Regions from separate parts of the Mus musculus genome. Here all the other regions are reported to be linked to region 1. Evidence: microRNA targets listed by miRTarBase, many of them from high-throughput screens and not tested one by one. Region 1 holds a microRNA gene; each other region holds the end of a gene's coding sequence.

Region 1 (3,150 bases):
ACAGGTCTGTAAACCTAAATGTGATGAGTGGCGTGCCCTTACGTCCCTAAGACACAGAGATTGAAGCACAGGGTGCTTTTACACAACTCCACCAGGTCTGCCCTACTTCTATAGTATGGACAAGTCCCTAAACCTGAACTCACAAGTTATTTTGGTAGCTCTCCTTCCATTGGGAAATGGGTCACTTCTTGTCAATGAAAGCAGAAAGTGTAAATTATCAGCAATCTCCATTCAAACAGTAATTCTCTTCAGCTTACCATATATAGGAAAGAAAATACATTAAAATGCCTTAGGCTGAAATTTAAGACCTGAGAGCTTAACTCTAGCTCAGTGGTTCTCAACCCTCCTAATCCCATCACCCTTTAAGGCAGTTCCTTACGTTGTGGTGACCCCCAACCACACAAGTATCTCATGATACTTCATGACTATAACTTTGCTACCATTATGAATCATATGTATCTTATATGCAAAGGCGTCATGACCCACAGGTTGAGAACCACTGCTCTAGCCACATGAATTTGATGACCACCTACTATGCACTGAGGATTGGGTGTGTGCCACTTCAGAAACAAATTTCCAGTCCAGCTCAACTTCCAAAGGATTTCAGATGCAGAACAACCTGGCCAGCATCTCATTATCATGGAAAATAATAGGGGCACTTAACTATGTTATCACCAAACATTTCTCTTGTGGAAATGGTTAGTGGGTGAATGGATACTTATTTTTTAAACAGCTGCAGTTTGGAAAATCTGTTACACAGCAACAAAGAGCTTGTACAACGAGCAGGAGACGCACCGATAAACTAACAGGCATGTCCACATAGTAAAATCAAACTAAGCAATAAAAAGATGATCTATTGTAGACAGAAGGAAGAAAATGTACTGTCTTTCTGACTGTGGGAAACAAAGTCATGTTCTGTAGCCCAGTGACTTGAGCTTGGTCCTGGGAACCCACACGAAGGAAGGGGAGAGCTGATTCCTGAAAAATTGTCCTCTGACCTCCAACTGTGAAGCCTCACACATCTGTGTGCACACAAAATAAAATAAAATGGTTTTGTTGTTGTTGAAGTTCAGATAGCCATTTTTTTTAATCACCTGACAAACCAGGTCATTGAAGAAACGTATTAACATCCTCTTAGGAGAAGAGTGGTTCTTATATTTTGGTTGTGAGCCTAGCCTTTAACAGCTGAGCCATCTCTCCAGCTGGAGGAGAATGTTTCTTACTAGCACTTTAATACAGCCAATTAGCTCCACAAAAACACAAAACAAAACAAAAGAAACACAGAAGAATCAACGTGGCCTTCAGGTTAAGAAAATAAACCACAAATAGAAAACAGTCTTTTGTCTTATAATTTGACAGATAGTTTTTTGTCCACTTCTTCTTACCATAGGCAAGGGATAATCATCACCCAGGCTGCTATTCTACCGACTCCAAACCTTGCACATTTCCCAGCTCTCAGCCTTAGGCTGAAATTTAAGGCCTGAGAGCTTAACTCTAGCTCAGTGGTTCGCAACCCTCCTAATCCCATCACCCTTTAAGACAGTTCCTTACGTTGTGGTGACCCCCAACCACACAAGTATCTCACTGCAAAAAGACTGGCTAGAAAAGAAGAGGAGACGAGTTATGAGTGATTCAGACCTGAGTGATGTCTCATGTCCAGTGTTTCATTTGCAAAGTCTCTGATAAAATGAAAATTATTATTATTATTGTTATTAAAATCTCAATCAAATCCATCAGATATCTCCTTCTTTATATATTTTTTATTATCTATTTTCCTCAATTACATTTCCAATGCTATCCCAAAAGTCCCCCATACCCTCCCTCCTACTCCCCTACCCACCCATTTCCACTTTTTGGCCCTGGCGTTCCCCTGTACTGGGGCATATAAAGTTTGCGTGTCCAATGGGTCTCTCTTTCCAGTGATGGCCAACTAGGCCATCTATTGATACATATGCAGCTAGAGTCAAGAGCTCCGGGGTACTGGTTAGTTCATATTGTTGTTCCACCTACAGGGTTGCAGATCTCTTTAGCTCCTTGGATACTTTCTCAAGCTCCTCCATTGGGGGCCCTGTGATCCATCCAATAGCTGACTGTGAGCATCCACTTCTGTATTTGTCAGACACTGGCATAGCCTCATACGAGACAGCTATATCAGGGTCCTTTCAGCAAACGCTTGCTAGTGTATGCAATGGTGTCATCGTTTGAAGGCTAATTATGGGATGGATCCCTGGATATGACAGTCTTTAGATGGTCCATCCTTTTGTCTCAGCTCCAAACTTTGTCTCTGTAGCTCCTTCCATGGGTGATTGCTTCCAATTCTAAGAAGGGGCAAAGTGTCCACACTTTGGTTTTCCTTCTTCTTGAGTTTCATGTGTTTTGCAAATTGTATCTTATATCTCGGGTATACTAAGTTTCTGGGCTAATATCCACTTATCAGTGAGTACATATCATTTGAGTCCTTTTGTGATTGGGTTACCTCACTCAGGATCTCCTTTAAGAACATTTCCTATCCTGGGAGAAATGCTTATAATTTAGTATGAACTTTGAAATACACGTTAATTCTCAAATCTATTAGGCATCAGGGGAGGGTTATTAGTGTATCATCATACAATCATTACTATGTCTTTTCTGATTTTGATATCATAAATGGTTTGACATTTCTATATTTCTGACTTTACTTTTCCATTTTGAAATACAAGCATGTATTGTTGTTGTGCTCTGCATAAGAAAAAAATAGTTATTTTTCAACTATGCATGATGGCTCATGCCTATAATCCCAACACTCAAGAGGCTGAGCCACAAGAATTACTGTGAGCCTAAGACCATTCTAGCCTACAGAGTGAAACTTTGGAGAGGAGGAGTGATAGAGAAAGAGAAAGACAAAGACAGACAGAGAGACAGAGACACAGAGACAGAGACAGAGACAGAGTCTTTCTTAATAGACACAAGGTTCTGACCATTACTGTGCAGGCAGTGACACGAGCATTTGGTCCCTGTATGCTGTGATTTTAGATCCCAACAGCTAAACCTGCAGAGGGGTTTCTCTAACAGGCTGGGAACACCATCTTGCCAGATTTACCTGAATGCTGGTACATTTTGGCACTGTTGGAGACGAAGCTGGACTGGACCTGGAGAGAAGCTGGGATGGGA
Region 2 (3,150 bases), not on the chromosome of region 1:
CATCAAGCTAATGTAACCAAACCCATTACACTGTAGATGACACATGCAGTGACAGCTACAGAGAAAAAGGCACAAGGGAAATGATCTGTCATCGTGCATGACTGGCAAGTTGCCCTGCACCACACACAAGTCCAATGAGCTCTGTGTTCACAGACAAGAGGTCAGACCAATCCTTACCACCACCTCCATGAGGGAGCTGTATGCCTTGCCTCCATACTGAGCAGAGCTAGTATAGGGAGCAAATGCCAGAGAATCATAGAACTTTCCAGAAAGTGTAAAATAATTTAACATTAAACATCTGCATGTAATAACTGACATCAATAAGCTATCCCAGTGGTCATAATGTAAGCCACTTCAAAATGTGCTTTCATAATAAATAAATACATTTCATTTACTGTGGAAATAAAAGTAAAGTTGGTAAGATGAATGCCAACTGTGTCTCTGGAATGTCCCAAGGCTCTGTAAGATCACTGGTAAATGCAATAAGGAGTAGTAAAATATTCAAAAGTGTTGGCACTGGATAGTTAGATGAGGCAGCAAGAGTGTGGGCCAGTTGATGGGGAAGGTTCCAAGCAAAGGACATATAGGCACAGATGGAGTGGTGCAGAGCTAGTCACAGCATGGCTGAGTAGAGGAAAGGTGACAGCTAGTGACATGGAGGCACTAGGTTAGCTCACATAGTCTAATCAACTAGTAATGGAGAAGACAGTGGTCAGGCTCTATGGTACACTAGCCTAGCTCTTCTCAGCAAACTAAACTGCTTGGGCCCAGTCCCTACCAAGTCCTCTGTAAGATGCACCCTTGTGCTTTTCTTCTGTCCTACACACAATAATGGAGCTAGGAGGGAAAATACATGGGAATGGCCACAGAACAAAACTAGAGAGGCAAAGGGAGCACACCACACGGTACACAGGTCTATGAAGAAAGTCAATTACATTTTCTGAAGGTACCTGATTATGTGGAAATGTTAAAGATTCATTCAACATGGGAAAGTATATAGAAATACCCTTGTAGAAGACCATTTTCTAAACTATGCTCCACTAAACATCATGTTACAAATACAATACCATAGGGTTTCTGACCCCATCTCCCCACAGTGAAGAACTGACCCAAACCCCCATTGTTGCACTGTTAAGAACAAATCAGGAAGCCAAAGGTGGTGGCGCATGACTTTAATACCACTTAGGAGGCAGAGGCAGATGTATCTGAGAGTTCAAAGCCAGCTGGCTTACACAGTGAGTTCCAGGACAGCCAAGGCTACACAGGTTGTGTCAAAAATTGAAAGAAAAAAAAAAGTACAACTTGTCATCTCAAGTCTTATGTTTTTAACTTCTGTCAATACATGCACAAACTGCCTCAGCAGGAGCACTGAGAAAGTGTGGTGAGTCGGCCCATACAAGCAGAATAAAATTTCTATTTGTAAGACAGAATACCATTATAAAACCATTCTACAAAATACCTTCTTGAAATTTCATTTTAAGATGAGGAAAAAAATAAATCTGTCATTTTATTTAACATTCATTCTGAAGTTACAGTTTTATCAGTACAATCTGCTTCTAAAGAAATCTTAGTATAATCCTAAAAGCATGCATTTATATACAGTAAGATCTACATTCCTAAATAAATTACATACATGATATATATTAAACAATAAAGAATACCAATTTGAGAATTCAGGACATTTATTTTTCTGCATGGGAATTTAACTACTATGCAACACACAGCAATTATGTTTACTAGGTAGTGAGACACTTATGTTTACTAGGTAGTGAGACACTAAATAAGCATACTCAAAGTGTCTAAAACAGACTTTGTTTTTTAGGCGACAAAATATTTTATGTCCTTAACATCTCCCTCACCTAGCACCAGATGCAAGGACTTAACAGTAAACATGTACAATCTCATGCTTAAAACCTAAAGCATGCATTGAGTCAAATTGATACCTTCTGATCTACACTACTATATATGCAATATATACTTCTTACAAATACTTTATACATTAAGTTACCCTGCAGCATTCTGGAACTTTAATATCTTTGAATGGTTTATGAGACAAGTTTTGAGGTTCATCTGCAGGCTGGCTTGGGTCAGGTGAGAAATGGCAGCAATCTGAGGTTTATACTAAAGGAAAATGGTGCGTGTTCCTATCAACCATGTAAAGATACCTATGTACATGGATGACACAGACCTGTGCAGCTGGAGCCACCAGTGCAAATGCATGCATTGAGGTACTTAGTTTTTCCATGGTCAGGTATAATTATGCAATCATTTTTCTCAAGCACTGAAGATTTAAGACTTAATCAAATGAAAAGCCTGAACTTTAAGTATGAGATATTTATATCGTTAATTTCCAACTTTTAATGAAGATTCACCATTATAGGCTTAGATATCTCACTGAAATGTTTAACAGTATATTTTCTTATTGTACAGAGACTGATTGGTAATTATACCTGGACAAGTGACAAATAGCATACTTGATATTCTTGCGGGACCTGTAATGAAATAGTAAAATACTTCATTATTGCTTCATTGGACTGAAAAACCTAAGAGGCAACAGCAGTGCTCGATGGTGAAAACTAAACATGAGGGCAGCGGTGTGCCCCTAAATGTCCTCTGTGCACTGTGAACTAAGCGTTCTCCACACTATCAATGCCGTTGGCATCCACGTGGATATCAGGCTCCACACAGAAAGAAGAAGGGATGAAGTGGCTAACAGTGGGACACAAACAGTTCTTAAGCTCTGGCAATTCTTGCTTCAGGCGCTCCAACTGCTCCACTTGGAATATATTTGGCTGTTCAGGCATCCAATCATATATCCTATGGTGAAAACAGACACACAATAAGAATAATGTAATTTCATGTTTATTAAGGACTGTCTGACTTAACTTTTTAAGAAAATCCATTTTAAAACTACCTGGAATATTCATTCTTATTGTATTTTATTCTACTTTAAGATAATGATAAAGATCAAAGCATTAGGTGAATTAATTCTCAGAATAGACTGTTCTTTTGTAACCCCGGTCATAAAACAATTCCTTGAATCAGAAAATGGAATTTGTAGTGCTCTAGTGATTCTTGAAGTATACAACTGGTGATGCCTTAGTTTACAGGAGGAAAACCTCCTGAGCCCTGAAACTTGTCCCCAGTGAC
Region 3 (3,150 bases), not on the chromosome of region 1:
AGCCACTGTGAGAGGCTACAGAGGGAAGGGGAGCCTGGCACCGGGCGCAGCCGCCCGGGGGAGTAGGACCCTGTTGCTCTTAGTTTTGAACTTTCTGTTTTGTCTCTTGCCCGTCCGGTTTTAGTTCCTGAAATTAAAGAAGTGGTGAGCCACAAGTACAAGACGCCAATGGTGAGTATGCGTCCCAGCCACAGCAGGCCGAAGCACGCAGGGCTCCCTGGGAACCTTCCGGCAAGAAGGGTGGACCCTCGCGGGGGACTAGATGCCAGGGGTTCAACTCAAGTCAAACACACCTTTCATCTGGGGTACATGTGCTGACCCCCCTCTCTCAGGAGAAAGGCTTCCAGAGACTTGCCTGAGGCTCACTCAGCCCAGGGGCCTGCACTAGTGTCAGGGCAGGCCTCGTACTCTAGGCTGACCCTCTACCTAAGAAGGAGTCTCAGTGTGGCTGATCCAACGGGTCTTCTGTTCCCTGCAGGCCCACGAGATCTGCTACTCTGTGTTGTGTCTCTTCTCGTATGTGGCCGCAGTTCGTAGCAGTGAAGAAGACCTTCGAACCCCACCTCGGCCTGTCTCTAGCTGATAGAAGGGTTCCACAGCTGGCCAAGCCCAGGGGTCTCCCCTCACCTCTTGCTGCTCCTAAGCACCGAAGCTGCTGGACTGAGATGGGAATGTGTGTGTGTTCTCAGCAAGTTCCTTCCCACGGTCTAGCTGGTCTTCTCTTACGTCTGAGTGTCTTTGTGTTCATCTGTCACGGGGCTAAGCTAGCCTCATTACTTTCTCTTCCTACAATAGCAGACTAGCCTTCTGTTCCCTCAGGGCTCCAGAGTGTGTGTGTGTGTGTGTGTGTGTGTGTGTGTGTGTGTGTGTGTGGTGTGTGTGGTGTGTGTGTCTGTGGGGTCACTGTGAGCCCACTATTGCCTGTCCTTGAGATGTTTGCACTGTGGTCCCTTGTCCTAGTCCTTATATCCTCCAGTTTAGGAGTCTTCTCTCTGTCCTCTATGATCTGGCACTGTGGGGCACCTGGGACAGTTCCACTCTGGGAAGTGAAAGACACCTGGGGACAAATCTTCCTGGCTGAGGGCCTGGGAGGAGGAGGGGAGGTTCAAAGGAAGCTCAGTAAGTGGTGGGCGACCTTCCTGCTTCCTCACAGTTTCTAAACTGTGGGTGCATGTCATGCTGCTGCCTGCCCCAGCTCCATCGATGGGTGTCCCTGAGTGGCTGCCATGTGCCGAGCTGGGATTTGTGCAGTGGTCTTCCTGGCCTTTGGCATGAGAGGACGGAGGAATGAGGTGATGGTGTCCCAGACAGCACCAGCTGCTCTGCCTAAGGGCCGGGGATAGGTGGGTCAGGGCTGAGCTGAGCCCAGAGTGCACGCCTGTCTGCAGGCAGAGTCTCCTGGCTTCAGTGCCAGAAGAAAGCTATGGACTGGATAGGAGGAGAATGTAAATATTTCAGCTCCACATTATTTATAGAAAAATGTACAGCTGTGTGATGTGAAATAAATGTCCTGAACTCCACTTGGGCTCCTGTGCACTCCTCTCAGCCCGGGCCTGAGGAAGGCTGTCCCTAGCTCATCTGCATCCAGCGTTGGCATACTGAGAGCCTGCCCTGGCCTCCTGCCTCCTGGGCTTCCTGGGGTGCCAGAAAGGAACACCTACGACACTACGGCTGTAAAGTCCTGAGATGTTCTGGGCACTAGAGAGGAGGTGACTTGGGCATTCACACCTGAACAGCTTGATAAAGAAGTCACAGGAAAACAGGGGTACTGCTCTGTGACCCTGTACACGTGTGTTCAGATGTGCTGTGGTGACCTGGGCCTCCCAAGGGCCTTCGGACCAGGGTTCTGTAAAAAATAAAGTGGTAACCCATGTCCAACCCTCATGGGCTATCTATGCCATGGGAAACCCTGGCACCTGTGGGCAGAATACCCAGCACACTGCCATGACACTTCTGAGACCTGCCGGCCACAAGATTTGTAAGGAAATGTGGTCTCTTGGGAGGAAGTCAGAGAAGGTTGTGATTTCCTGTGTCTGAGCTGCATGGAGTCACTCTGTCCCATGAGATGTGGTCGTGAGCTGTGGGCTCTTGGAGTCTTGATGTCTAATACAGTACAGGGCTCTACTGCCCTGTCCCCCGTATAGCACCCAGCTGGTGTTGCCTGGGTTACTGGCATGAGGCCCATATGCCTGTGCCTCCAACGGCTTTCACTTCCACACTTCCTCACCTGAGCATGAGGGTGGAGGGAGGCTGACATCCTTTCCAGTGCTGATGTCCCACAAGTCCAGGACACTGAACTGGAGAGTGGGGTGACCAAGCGAATGCTGTATGCTTTCCCATGGACATGAACAGGAGACATCAACCCCCAGGAATGGCACAGATCTTTTATTGCTCCTACACAATGAGCCAGCCAAAAGGGCCTGTCCCCAGTCACCACTTCTGAAGCCCACACACTTTATGCTCCCAGTATTAACATTATCCTTAGGGTCAGTTTCTTCAGAACCCAGCAGACCTGCCTGGTGTCACTGCTGGCCAGTCCTTCCAGGATGCACAGTTGCACACACACATGCAGTAGCAGAAAAGGGTGCTCCTCCAACTCCCTTCCGGTCTGGTACACAGCCTGGCATCCATTTGTACCTGAGACATAGGCTGCCTTGTGGATGAACTGTGGCTTCTTGTACCCCCATTTCCTGATAGCCACCCTAGGCCCTTGGCCTTAGGTGGTTTGGAATACGTACCTAGCCATCTCTGGGGAGCCATCCTGGTCACTGAGGAACTGTAAGAGGGAAGGAAACCATGTGATTCCCTAGTCTTCCAAAAGCCAAGATCCACTGAACATGTCAGGACCAGTGATCTAGCAGCCAGAGGTACTCCTTGAACCAGGACAGCAGAGCCAAGCCCAGGGTCCATGGTGCTGTCCTGCTTTCTCCCAAGCCCTGGCCCAGAAGGCTCCTTACCTCGCACCTCCAGGCGGCACTCACACTGTGCCTCGCCCTGCAAGTTGGTGGCCCTGCAGACATAGACACCACCATCATAGGGGCAGGGTTTCCTGATCTCCAGGGTCAATACTCCCTGCTTGCAGAACATGCGGAAGCGAGCATCTTCTCCCAGATCCAGGCCATTCTTGAACCAGGAAATCTTGGGCTGAAC
Region 4 (3,144 bases), not on the chromosome of region 1:
TTTTTTTAAATAGTGAGAAGAGAGAACTGAAAAGGAATGAAAACGCAGGCCTTTCTACTTGGAGGCATTTAAAATCTACTTTGAAAGTATAGTGGTTCTTCAAAGTGCTGGGGTCAAGTTCAGCACCAATGAAGACCAACCACATCCACCCGTGAATCAGATTTCACAGTCCCACGGGCACCTCACTCATTTCATTGTAACCGGGGAAGGATATTGGTAACAGCAACAGAACAGATGCCATGCTCTGGAGGGTCTTCAGTGGTGGCCTAACAATGTTCCAATATTCCCTGTCACTCTGCTGTGAAATTACTTATGTGTCTAAGTCAGAGAAGTCATCTTGACAATGTGTGGTTTGACCCCAGTCATCCTCAAGTGTTTCTACTTGCACGTATGAAGGCAGAGGGCAACCTTAGGTGTCCTCTCTCAGGCTGTCTCCCCTATGTTTTGGGGTAGGGACTCTCGCTGGCTGGCCAGCAAGGCTGGGGTGTGCTTGTCCCCACCTCCCTGGTGCTGGATTACCAGTGCCCTCCCATGTCCTGCTGGGTTTATATGGGTTTTGATGATTGAACTCCTGCCTGTAATACAAGCACTTTCTCTCACCTTCGCCTACTGCATGTGTGTGTGTGGGTGCACAGGGCCAGAGCACATAGGTGGGTTCTCTATTTCTACCATGCAGGTTCCAGGGATGGAACGCAAGGTTCTCAGGCTTGGCAGCAAGCACCTTTACCTGCTGAGCCACCTCACTGTCCTTGAAGAGTAACTTTAAACAGTGCTGTGTTCTGGGAGCCCCAAAATTCCTCCAAGGCATTTACTAAGAACATCTGGAGGCATTGGCTGGGAAAGACAGTTACCTACAGGCATGGGTTTCAGGCTTCTGATTGGTCCACATCTAACGAAGTGTCAGTTGGGCGTACAGTATTAACTCCAGAATAACTTTGCAGTGCAATGTGGCTGCTAAACGGCTTTCTCTCTGGCCTCCTGAGTCACGATGGCCCCTCTGAACGGAGCATTAGAAAAGAACCCTGTCAGGGTCAGAGCACTTGAACGGTGTATAAGCTCCACAGAACAGAGCTTTGGCTGACGGCTGCCAAGAAACTTCTGGGTGGCCTCTAAGTCAACAACAAGCAGAAAGTTTGTGGTGTGTCACCTGCCCAAAACATGACACTCTTACTTTTTCTAGTGGCTGTACCCAGCCTGGCTCCTGGGACATCTGCAGCCCCGCTGGCATCCTGATTTGTTTGAGTAGACTTATACCTTGTACCACAGAACCCCTCAATTGCTTTCACTGAAACTTGACAATAGAAATCAGCTCTCATGACCTGCAGGTCTGACATTTAGGAAAACCAGCTTCTAAAAAATACTAAACCATCCTGACTGTGTCGCTTAGTAAGTGTATTTCCTCTACGATGGCAGCACGGACTCGGTTTTGAACTGGCTTAGACTCATCTCTCACAGGCTTGGGAACTATTGTCTTTGTGAATAAACTGGTCAAGGAGGAACACACCCCGAGATGTCACCACTGAGCCGTCCTCCTGGAGAAACGTGGCAAGGCCCGATCACCATGGAAACTGGGACCTCTCACAGCATAGCACAAGTGCAGAATGGCCACCCATCTTTATTAACGTCTGACTGGGGCTGGAGAGAGGGCTCAGTGGGTGAAGAGACTTGCGATGGGAGAACCTGATGACCCAGGGTCAGGCCTCGGAACCCACACAAAGCTGTACAACTCTACACACCTACTGTGGCGCACACAGCCACCCAACAGCAGATACACACAAAACGAGCAGAAGAAAAACCCGCAAAAATCTCCATATTCAATTTGACTATCTTTGGAATTCTTCATTAAGGTTTTCACGAAATACAAAGCTCAAACATAATTGCCTACATCCACCACAAAATAGAATCAAGTAAGTGGTTAGCACACAAACATAACGATCTTTTTCATTTTTAAAAATATAAATAACAAAAACGTTCAGGGGTTTTACAGTTTTCTTAACGTGTGTGTGTGTGTGTGTGTGTGTGTGTGTGTGTGTGTGTGTGTGTGTCTTTTTAAGGCTTTGTGTTGCAGACTGGTACTTGTGCCCTGGTATCAGGGTGCACTGCCCACCAGCAAGGAAGGCCGCTGTGGATACATTCCTGAGGGTGCCACACACCCATCTCCGCCGCCTCAGCCTGGGGAAACCCGTGCCAGACACCCTCCATCAGGCCGCAGGTCACCGACTCTCTTCCACAGAGCGTGCAAGCTCGCAGAAGACCAACCGTGAAAGGCAAGAGAGATTCCTGGAAAGCCTCTTCCTGTTACTCAGGAAGCCCCCAGTAACCCACAACTCAAACCGCAGTTTGTAGTGAAATCGCTTTCAGATTGAACAGTGGTGAGAGTGGCAGCTTTTGCCCAGGGCTTACAGGAGCGATTAAAGAGGAGAGGTCAACGTTGGGAAAACACCACCGAATACAGATGTCCCCCCAGGAGTCCCATGGCCGGTGAGGGCTGGAGGGAGGGAGATGGCCCCTGCCTTGGGCCTGAAGTCCGAGGGAAGCGACTCCAGCAGGCACCTGACCTGCTCCTGGCCCAGCTTTATCTTGTCATCCAGCTTCCGCTGCTCAATGAGGAGTGTGGACTTCATCTTCACGAAGTGCTGGTAGTCCTGCAGCTGCTCGGCGGACAGGTAGTTGGCCAGGATATCCAGCACCACGCGCTCCCTCCGGTCCAGGTTCTCCTTGAGCTCCCGTGCATCCTCATGCTGGCCAGCCAGAACCTTCCTTTTCTCGTTCAGAGAACTCTGCCAGGGTAAAATGAACAGGTAAGGCAGCCATAAGACAAGGAGGCAGACTCCTGCCTCTCACAGGGCTGCAAACCAGTGCTCTACTCAACAGTGCGAAGGATGGATGGATGTACCTATAGCCATTATTACTATCTGTTTTCTCTCCTTATGTTGAACACTCTGTGGTGGGTAAATGGCTGTGGTAACAACCTGCCCTTTTTAGCTCTACACTTACTGAGCCAATCCTCAAGTTCTCTGAGTACTTTGTGCCCCACCTCTCCATCTGCTGAATAAAAACTTTGCAGGGGGCTGGAGAGATGGAGCCCTGGTTCGGAGCACAGACTGACTGTTGTAGAACATCTGAATTCAATTCCTAGCACCC

The links. Region 1 holds the annotated microRNA mmu-miR-690 (AAAGGCUAGGCUCACAACCAAA, at 1,159-1,180, opposite strand). A microRNA usually pairs through its seed, bases 2 to 8, with sites in the 3' UTR of a target mRNA and lowers its output. Matches are read on the target gene's strand: a 7mer-m8 pairs with bases 2 to 8, a 7mer-A1 pairs with bases 2 to 7 and ends in A, and an 8mer does both.
Region 2: miRTarBase lists Gpcpd1 as a target of mmu-miR-690. Seed matches in the 3' UTR shown: 7mer-m8 at 1,254-1,260.
Region 3: miRTarBase lists Madd as a target of mmu-miR-690. Seed matches in the 3' UTR shown: 7mer-m8 at 801-807.
Region 4: the mRNA of Shroom3 is a reported target of mmu-miR-690. Seed matches in the 3' UTR shown: 7mer-A1 at 2,051-2,057.

The regions. Positions count from the first base shown.
Region 1 is chr16:28,598,782-28,601,931 of GRCm38, forward strand. It overlaps Mir690 (microRNA 690), which reads right to left and starts at 1,262; the gene lies at 1,154-1,262. It also overlaps a transcript of Fgf12 not described here.
Region 2 is chr2:132,527,926-132,531,075 of GRCm38, forward strand. It overlaps Gpcpd1 (glycerophosphocholine phosphodiesterase 1), which reads right to left. Exons shown (of 20, transcript NM_028802.3): 20 at 1,157-2,817. The coding sequence ends at 2,628. Among named protein-coding and RNA genes, the nearest start is that of 1700026D11Rik, 39 kb to the left of the region's middle.
Region 3 is chr2:91,135,730-91,138,879 of GRCm38, reverse strand. It overlaps Madd (MAP-kinase activating death domain), which reads left to right. Exons shown (of 35, transcript NM_001177720.1): 34 at 125-171; 35 at 479-1,520. The coding sequence ends at 583. It overlaps Mybpc3 (myosin binding protein C, cardiac), which reads right to left. Exons shown (of 35, transcript NM_008653.2): 33 at 2,958-3,144; 34 at 2,739-2,776; 35 at 2,364-2,637. The coding sequence ends at 2,766. Among named protein-coding and RNA genes, the nearest start is that of Mybpc3, 19 kb to the right of the region's middle.
Region 4 is chr5:92,963,992-92,967,135 of GRCm38, reverse strand. It overlaps Shroom3 (shroom family member 3), which reads right to left. Exons shown (of 11, transcript NM_015756.2): 11 at 1,377-2,780. The coding sequence ends at 2,412. Among named protein-coding and RNA genes, the nearest start is that of Gm36764, 44 kb to the left of the region's middle.